Linked DNA regions of Drosophila melanogaster. Changing the gene in region 1 together with any one later gene gives a genetic interaction. Each region holds a gene or a part of one and is shown in the gene's direction. Other genes may lie near its edges. The genes, in order: corolla and GlyRS.

The links.
Region 2: of corolla (region 1) and GlyRS, changing one enhances a phenotype caused by changing the other (phenotypic enhancement), as found in Drosophila melanogaster (one study listed by BioGRID).

The regions. Positions count from the first base shown.
Region 1 is NC_004354.4:17,629,220-17,633,809, reverse strand, and holds corolla (corolla), read left to right. Parts: upstream 1-1,762; 5' UTR 1,763-1,810; coding exon 1,811-1,928; intron 1,929-1,992; coding exon 1,993-2,283; intron 2,284-2,440; coding exon 2,441-2,628; intron 2,629-2,680; coding exon 2,681-3,748; 3' UTR 3,749-4,019; downstream 4,020-4,590. Other genes in the region: ND-24 (NADH dehydrogenase (ubiquinone) 24 kDa subunit), read right to left, coding at 377-547, 702-1,220, 1,350-1,388; CG8326 (uncharacterized protein), read left to right, coding at 4,387-4,469, 4,539-4,590.
Region 2 is NT_037436.4:15,093,333-15,098,288, forward strand, and holds GlyRS (Glycyl-tRNA synthetase), read left to right. Parts: upstream 1-1,809; 5' UTR 1,810-1,929; coding exon 1,930-4,227; 3' UTR 4,228-4,354; downstream 4,355-4,956. UniProt on the Drosophila melanogaster protein: Catalyzes the ATP-dependent ligation of glycine to the 3'-end of its cognate tRNA, via the formation of an aminoacyl-adenylate intermediate (Gly-AMP).

The DNA.
Region 1 (4,590 bases):
TGAGCGAACATTATAATTAGTAATGGAACATGCGTACGTATGCAATAGTAAACATCCATTATAATTAGCAATGGGAACCTGCCGTTTCCACTACAAAATAAAATCATTTATTGGTCAAGATATGAAAAACGCACATTTGGCTTGCATTGGGGTTCTGGCGATCTTCCACATCTAATTGAATGTACTAGTATTCTCGAGTTCGTTGGGAGTTATTATTTTATGTGTAACCTTTCAAAATGGAAACTTTCCAATGGAAAGTGAGCATATTTTTAAAAAAAAATCCAAAAATCCTTTATCAATGACCTCTATAAGTTGCTTAACATTTATTTAACTTTCGTTCGACAATCAGTGATAGGTTCTGCTCCTTGCTCATCCTCTACAGACCGGCCTGCAGACCAAAGCCAGGACCCTTGGGCTCCTCGCTCAGGGAAGTGGGCTCGCCCTTTGGCTCGCTGGCAAAGCGTCCGTTGCGTGGCCCAGGGGGCGATATCTTATCCGCCTTCAGGTCGTTCAGGATGTCCTGCATGTCCTTGGATGTCAGATCCTCCTGCAAAGTAAAAAAAAAACGTTAGCAATGTTTGCACAATATAGAGTCGATTTCAGCGCATTAAGATTGAAACGCTGGACGAGGCTGAGAGTGAAACTGGCGTTTCCTACAAACAAATGACCAGGAAACACATTTAGCAATTAGAATTGCTTACATAGTAGTCATCGTTGATCGCCACCATTGGCGCATTGACACAGGCGCCCAAGCACTCGACCTCCGAGATGGTGAACTTCCTGTCCTTGGTGGTGTCGCCGACGCCGATGCCCAGCTGCTTCTTGCAGGTCTCCAGGATGTCGTCCGATCCGCGGAGCCAGCATGGTGTGGTGGTGCACACCTGGATGTGATACTTGCCAGTGGGCTTGCGCATGAACATCGTATAGAAAGTGGCCACCTCGTAGACGCGCATATTGGGCAACTGGAGAATCTCGGCCACCTTGTGCATGGCAGAGATTGGCAGCCAGCCGTACTGGCGCTGTGCCAGATCAAGCAGCGGGATCATGGCGCCGCGCTTGTGCCCCTCCGGATAGATGCTGAGTATGGCCTCCACGCGCTTCTTGTTCTCCGCCGTGAACTCGAACGGGATGTTGGGATTATCCTCCGGTGTGTCGCGATGGACGAACAGATTGTCGCTGGCCCGGGCACTGCTGGTGGCAATTGCCCGGATGTTGGCGCGCTGCAAATAACAACACATATCCTTAATGTTATTGTTTTCCTGTCGCCAATTATATAACTCGGGGAACAGGTTGCCTTCCCTGGTTGACACCGCGAATTACTGGACAGTTTGGATGGCTGCGCTACTCACCACGGCGGCCAGTGTTTTGGAGGCACAGTTTGTCAGCATTCTGGCGTTTCCAAAATAATGAAAAGGCTGAAAATTTGCTCTTATGTTATGTGAAGTCCGTCGGCTGCTGTCAGTTTTTTTTTAACAAGCACCGCTTACAGCTGATTTTCGGCGGAGCGTTTGCCAACACTGGCACTTGTCGTCAGAGATGAGCAAATCTCTACAAATCTTGTACAACATTAATAAAAAAAAGCTTAAACAAATAAAACTTGTAATTAAATTAATATTCAGCGGTACGTTACATTTTTTTATTCCTTTTTAAAATAAGTTTTCTAAAACAGTAAGCGATATATATCGCTGTGACTTCAGTATCTATGACACTTTTCAACAATGATCGCTGTGCCTTAGCATTCGATATCCGATAAATTACTGAACGCGCAAACTTGTAAGCTTATCGGGGGGAAACATTGAACGGACAAAATATGGAAAAATATCCACTTGTCAAAGAATTTATGGGGCAAAATTGGCCAAAAGATACCAAAATGGCGCAGCTCGAGAAGGAACTCAAGAAAAGGAAAGAATTGATCGTCGAGGAGCAGAGTGAGTGGGCATAATGCGCGAATCTCCAAGTAAGATTTATACATACATGTTTCTGCTTGTTCAGTTGTAGGGCCGCGTTTGGAGCAGGTGCTATTCGACCTGACCTTGGTCAAGCAGTGCGCCTTGGTAGTGGAGGATAACGGTGCCGGTATGGCACAGGCCAACACCATGATACAGGACTGTATGTTCCAGATCACGCGAATTGAGGAGCTGCTCGAAATGGCCGGGCTGCAGGACATCCTCTACTACACGGTGCATCGCAAGGAGCAGGAGTTCCAGCGCAAAATTAAGCTGCAGGAGGATTTGGCCGAGCAAGAGAATCAGCAGAACACAATCCTCGAATCGCGCAGCATCGGTAAGATTTTGTATGAGGTATTATTGAATACGGAATCCATTTGAATGCTATATAATCATAAACAATAAAAAACATTTTGTTTAATATTTTTTACCCTATGTGATAGTATAAGTTCATTTGTGTTATTTAAATGATTCTCAAGTAGCTTCTATTTCAGTCCAGGAATTCCGAAAAGAGCAAGCCTTAAAAAAAGAGGCAGATAAGGAGCTAGCCTCAGTGGACGACCAACTGGACCAGTCGGATCGCGAGTGGACAATTACGCTGAGAAGTATGACGGATAAGCTTAATAAGAAGATAGTCAGCGTTTTACAGATGGGAAAGCTGATAAACGAATTGAAGGAAGAGGTGAGTAGCTGCGAAATATCCATTCCAAGTGAATAACTTTTCCGTTTTTCAGTTGCAAAAAAGGAATTTGATTAAAACGGGTGTCACTAAGGGCGCTGAACCAAGTTTGGCTGGTGTTCCATCCGCTAGCACCATTTCACCATTTCAGTCCGCTTCGGATTTCCTCAACAACTTCATCTTTAAGAATATCAGACCAGATGACAATAAATCCATGACGAGCGTGAATAGAGAGATCACTACTAAGAAGCTGGAGACTCCTCTGCGATCCATTTTGATCAAATGCAAGGAGGTCGAGTCTGTTGCCATTTCCAACTCGCCAACAAAGCAAGTGCGTTTTTCTCCCTATCCAGAGATAAGCCATATCGAAGAGGAGAAATTTGAGAAGACCGATTGGCTTTCTCCTTCAGAAGAGGCAGGTGTCCCAAATGCGGAATTAGAAGAGGACAGTGACGAAATGGAGGCCACAGACGAAGATTTTGAGGAAATATCAGAAGAAGAATTCGAAATGGCGCTGAAAGATGAAGGATTTGAGCAGGAGGTAAAAGTAGAAAAGTCAGAAGAGGTTTTGCATCTAGAACAGGATAGATATGATGAGAAATCTGGCTCAGAAGTCGAGGAATCCGTATCGGATGACAAGGAATCCGGAGGGGAGGCTTCAGGAGAGGAGGAGCCGGCTGATGCGGCCAAACAAGTAAAAATCGGCGAAAACCCGAAGACTGATGAGCAGCTATCCAATGAAATTTCCGATAAACCACAAATAATTAGAGTCGACACTCTCTCTCCCTTCAAAAACATATCTTCCTGGGCCAGCGACGATATACCCAGCACCTCCAAGGGCACTCTTAATCGTTTTACTGCAACCCAGTTTATGAACTATGGTAGCAATCGCGATGAAAACGAGGCGCCGCCTTGCAAGCGACTAAAATTGGAGGAGGAGGAGTTCCCAATGAGCCAACCAATGCCGGATTACTTTAAGCATCCGTCGTCCACATTCAACAACTTTGATGATCAATCACTTCGATTCAGCTCGCCCCACAACAATTTTGACGATGATTACCTGCTGAACTTCAGCGATGATAATGATGTTACACCTACTGCCGCCTCGGCGTACATACTTTAAATTGTTAACGTATTTTGGTCAAAAATTAATGTATGTTCTTTATAAGAACGGACAATTAATTAATATCCAGATACTTATTCATTCATTGCCATTTGCAATCAAAAAAAATTTCACTTCAGCTAAATTATTTGTAGCTTTATAATGAAATTAATTTGCGTACATAATATGCATATGTACATTTAAATCATACGTATTCAGTTCGAAAGTGCCGTTTCAGACTTATTCTTCATTTTGTCGTTGCTTATAAACTAATAAAACAATAAATTAAGACAAATTCGTGACTTTAAATATTTAATTTTACTGCAAACAGTAAATTTTACCACTTGCAATAAAATACTTTTCTCATTACAGCATATAAATCTTTATTAAAAATGTATATTATAAAATAGGGGAATATGAAGACTACTTAATACAATACATAGTGTAAAATACATTTATATATTTAATCTAATATATATTTAACTTTAATATTTCATTTGTAATTCTGGGCGCCAATGGTTTGAGTCCAAGCTTTAATCGATTTGGTATATTTATGGTTTGTTTTGGTATTTGTCAGCATGCATCGCGCTTAGTATTTTAACCCATGCTGTCGATACCACGAGTTTGTTTTACAAAAATTGAACCAAAACCCAAAATAAATGGCTCGGAAACGAAAGATTCCCGTGCGCAAGCACCACGGCGTCCGTGATCCCCTCAAGCAGCTGGAACAGAAGGAGAAGAAGTTTGTTCATAGTGGCAAGTCAGTCGAAAAAGGCAGCTAAACTAATATCTGCACCATTTCACATTTCAGACTTTCCAAAGTAACGAACAATCCGCCTGTGAAAAAGGATGAGCAGCAGGTG
Region 2 (4,956 bases), on another chromosome or scaffold:
GACAAGCAGTCTTCGATCAGTCGCCTCCTTTGTTTTTATGTAATTTATGGGTTTATTTTGGGGTATTCACCCCACTCTGATACAAAACTTTAACCATTCCATTTTTGTTTGCTACATTTTTTTTTTAACATTTTGAAACAAGAAAGAAAATATAACAGAATGAGTCTGTAACTCAGAAGCTGATTTTTCTTAGTTAGTCTACGAAAACTATCTGAATTATTTTCAAATATACTGTATAAATTCTTATTGTATCAGAGCTGTCGAATACCCCTGGATGATTTCGTTCAGAGTTAGCATTTTGAATTAGAGACGTGCACTAGTTTATTAGGATATTAATGCTTTTTGTTGTATGTACAGACTTAGTTTTTGTTTGCTTCCGATTTCCAACCCGTTTCATCACGCACCACAACCACAGTAAACCTTGAAGCGAACCCTCTCAAAAAAATGGCCAGAACTTTAACCCAAAACATAGAGCATCCCGATGAGGTGTTGTTAGGTTTGTTGTGTCCGTGTTTTTGAACATTTTTTTGGTTTTGTTTCGTACAGTCTTGAGTTTGGCCTTCGTGGCCGGCGATGACTTAATATCAAACGTGCAAAAGTCGTTGAATTAAGTGCGCCTACAGTGGATGCTCGCTGAGAGGAACCAAACTGGTTTTTTCTCCGCATTCTTAATAATTTTCATCGTGGGGGTTGGTTTCTAATTAAAGAACCTCCACTGTGCATGTTAAATGATGTAAAATGGTGTGCACACATACACGTACAATAACAAACTACGCTTATGACTAATAAATAAATTATAATGCATACTTTATACAGATCGATTGGCCCACTCATAAAAAAAAAGAAAACAACAAGACAACAACAAAAACAGGTCAAGAACGAAAAACGGTTAAACAAAAACAACTCGCAACTCACCGAACGAAGACCTTTGTTGTTGTGACCGCTGCCTCTTTGGCCGGTGTACGTGTGTGTGCGTTGTCGTAAAAACAAACATCAACCGTTATGTGTGGCAGCGCCTGTGAATGAGTTAATTTTTTAAGTGTTTGCAATAAAGATTTCGGAAAATTGGCAGGAAAACAACATTTGTATTAGCAGCTCAGGTGAGAGAGTGCCGAGAGAGGGAGAGAGAAGCACACCTTTCTGTTTTATCGCTCGAAATGCGGTCGCATAGCGTCGCTGTTGTTGCAACGCCGCGTCCCCTCGGATAGAAAACAACTAAACTCGTCCTGTTTTTCACATTAACCGCTTGTTTTTCAATTTGTGCGCTACGCGTTTGAGCAATTGGTTTGGGCAGCACTTGAGTTCGGCCGAACTAAACCAAAATTGAGCAAATTATATGGGAAAAACCAGACTGCAATGCTGCGCCTACATAATTAAAACAAAAACTAAACATATCGATAACGAAGAAGGCCCTACCCGATATCGATGTACTGGAGTGCTGAAAAACATCATAAGGTGCTGTTATTATCAGCCGCCCTGTTAGGGACAAGTGATCAATGTTGCCGACACGGTAACAGTGATTTTGGGATACCTTAATTTTATCAGAGCATTGTTTTTAAATTTAATTAATTTTTTAATATTATTAAATAATAATTCCATCGCTTATTCAACTATAAGTAAAGATGAAAGAATATGTTGAAACTATGTTGAAACCAAACTATCCAAGACACATTTACCAAATATAGCAAATAAAAAATAAATATAAAACAATAAAAACAAATAACATTTACCAAAGTCGCAACATTGCGCATCACTGAGCAGCTCTGTTAACCATAATCAGTGTTGTGCAAAGACAGTGCTGCAAGCCGGCCGACTAAGACTCATCCAAGTCGAAATTGCAGCCGAAAGTGAAGGTATTGCAGCAGTAGCCAATTGGACGGTTTATTACATAAATTCGCGTTTTTCGGCTGAAAAAATAAAAGCCTCTTTATGTCATTGCAGTTGTTAAAAGCGCTACCCCACCTGCGCAGCGCCACCACAGCCGTGAGAACTCAGATTGCAAGAACAACGTGGAGCGAGCACATTGCCACGAAAGTGTTTTTTAGCACCACTACCACAAAACCTACTCCCTCCGCACCACCACCACCTCCACCAACGCAACCGCAGCAGCCAGCTGCAACCACAAGTTGGGGCACCAAGAAGCAAAATAGAAAGGTAAAACTAAGATCCGCCGCTGCCGAGTTCATCATGTCGAATCCCGAGATTGAGGCTCAACTTGCCCCATTGAGGGAACGAGTTCAGGAGCAGGGTAACCTGGTGAGGGATCTCAAGGCGAAGGGTGCCCCCGAGATCGATGTGAAAAAGGCAGTAGCCGAGCTGAAGGCACGCAAGAAGCTGCTGGAGGACAAAGAGCTCGCCCTGACCCCCAGTGTCGTTAGTTTCGATCGCGCGAAGATGGAGGATCTACTCAAGCGTCGCTTCTTCTACGACCAGAGTTTCGCAATTTATGGCGGCATCACCGGCCAGTACGATTTTGGACCCATGGGCTGTGCCCTCAAGTCCAACATTCTGGCCCTATGGCGTCAGTATTTCGCCCTCGAAGAGCAAATGCTGGAGGTGGACTGCTCTATTCTGACTCCCGAACCTGTGCTCAAAGCCTCTGGTCATGTGGAGCGTTTCGCTGATCTGATGGTCAAGGATGTCAAGACCGGCGAGTGCTTCCGCCTGGATCATCTCATTAAGCAGGCTTTGGAAAAGCTATCTAAGGCCAAGGATGCAACTCCCGCCCTGCAGGCCGAGTGTGAGGATATTATCATTAAACTGGATGGCCTGAACAAACAGGAATTGGCTGGTGTCCTGGCCAAATACAACATCAAATCTCCATTAACCGGCAATGATTTAACAGAACCGATTGAGTTCAACCTGATGTTTGCCACCCAAATTGGACCCACTGGCTTGGTCAAGGGATTCCTGCGGCCCGAAACTGCCCAGGGTATCTTCGTCAACTTCAAGCGACTGCTGGAATTCAATCAAGGCAAGCTTCCCTTCGCTGTGGCTCAAATTGGCAACTCCTTCCGCAATGAAATCTCACCCCGATCGGGATTGATCCGTGTGCGAGAGTTCACCATGGCAGAGATTGAACATTTCTGTGATCCCGTGCTCAAGGACCATCCCAAATTTGGCAACATCAAATCGGAAAAGTTGACCCTTTACTCGGCGTGCAACCAGATGGATGGAAAGTCTGCCGCTCAGGTGCAAATCGGCGAAGCAGTGGCATCCAAACTGGTGGCTAATGAGACACTTGGTTACTATATGGCCCGCATTCAGCAGTTCCTGTTGGCCATTGGTATCAAACCGGAGTGCTTGCGATTCCGGCAGCACATGTCCAATGAGATGGCTCACTATGCATGCGATTGCTGGGATGCCGAAATTCTTACCTCCTACGGATGGGTGGAGTGCGTAGGATGTGCGGATCGCAGTGCCTACGATTTGGGACAGCATACGGCCGCCACAGGTGTGCGTTTGGTGGCCGAGAAGCGTCTGCCGGCTCCCAAAACGGTCGAGGTCAGCGAGATTGTGCCAAACAAGCAGGCTCTCGGAAAGACCTTCAAGAAGGAGGCAAAGAACATCACGGATGCGTTGGCTAAGCTTTCGCTGGAGGAGATAACCAAGGTAGAGGAACAGCTGGCTGGCGATGGTCAATACAAACTGACCACGGCCGATGGCCAAAGCCACGATCTCGGAAAGGACACCATCAGCGTTAAGCACTCTACGAAAACGGTCCATGTGGAGGAGTTCATCCCGAGTGTGGTTGAGCCTTCATTCGGCATTGGTCGCATCATGTACTCCCTGTTGGAGCACAGTTTCCAATGCCGCGACGGCGACGAGCAGCGGTGCTACTTTACGCTACCGCCTCTGGTGGCGCCCATCAAGTGCTCCATCCTTCCGCTGTCCAACAACACCGACTTTCAACCTTATACTCAGAAACTGTCTTCTGCCCTGACCAAGGCGGAACTTTCGCACAAGGTGGACGACTCCAGTGGATCCATTGGCAGGCGGTATGCCCGCACGGATGAGATTGCCATACCCTATGGCATCACCGTGGACTTCGACACTCTAAAGGAACCGCATACGGTGACTCTGCGAGATCGGAATACTATGAAACAGGTGCGCGTCGGTCTGGAGGAGGTTGTGGGCGTCGTCAAGGACTTGTCGACGGCGAGAACCACCTGGGAGAGTGTCACCGAACAGTATCCTCTGTTCGAACAGCAGGAGGCCAGCAAGTAACTGGTTGATCAAGGAGTTTCTTTCGCTTGGCACGCATTTACAGAGTTTCAAAGTTTTCTTATTTTTGTATAAATAAAATTCAATAATTCAATAATTTCTTATAAAATTCAATAAATATGCAACATTTAATGCTTTGCGCTTTGAAATGGGAGTGTGTTTATCTTCAATATGAATTTGATGTTTATTTTCAAAAAATATTTTTTCTCGGTGAAATTTCTTTTTAAATTATTTAATATAATTTTAAATATGCACATTTAAAGTTGTTTGGATCTATGACAATTCAAATTTACCGGATATTATGATTTATTTACACTTAAAATTGGTAATATAAAACGTGAAATTCCTTTTAAAAACGCAAACTATACACAAAGAGTAAAAATATAAACAAGGGAAAGTAATACGAATTATAGGCCATTTTTTCTTTAGATTTAAATCGCAAGTTTCCAAATAAATATGTAACCAGTCCTCACTGCTATGCTAAAATTACATTTGATTCTTGTTTATTTTTGCGGGAACTCAATTTTAATGCATAGGAAACCGCGCGGTTTTTGTGACGTTTAACAACACACGGTGAGTCACTGGTATTCTCAATGAAATGAGCGGTGGTCATACCATAAATACGTATGAGATATTAAACGAATCCAATTTCTAAAACCACGTGCAGCAAAGGCAAATAAACAATAAATTGTGGCTCGGATTGCCTCAGATTGAGTGTCCACCGCGAATTGA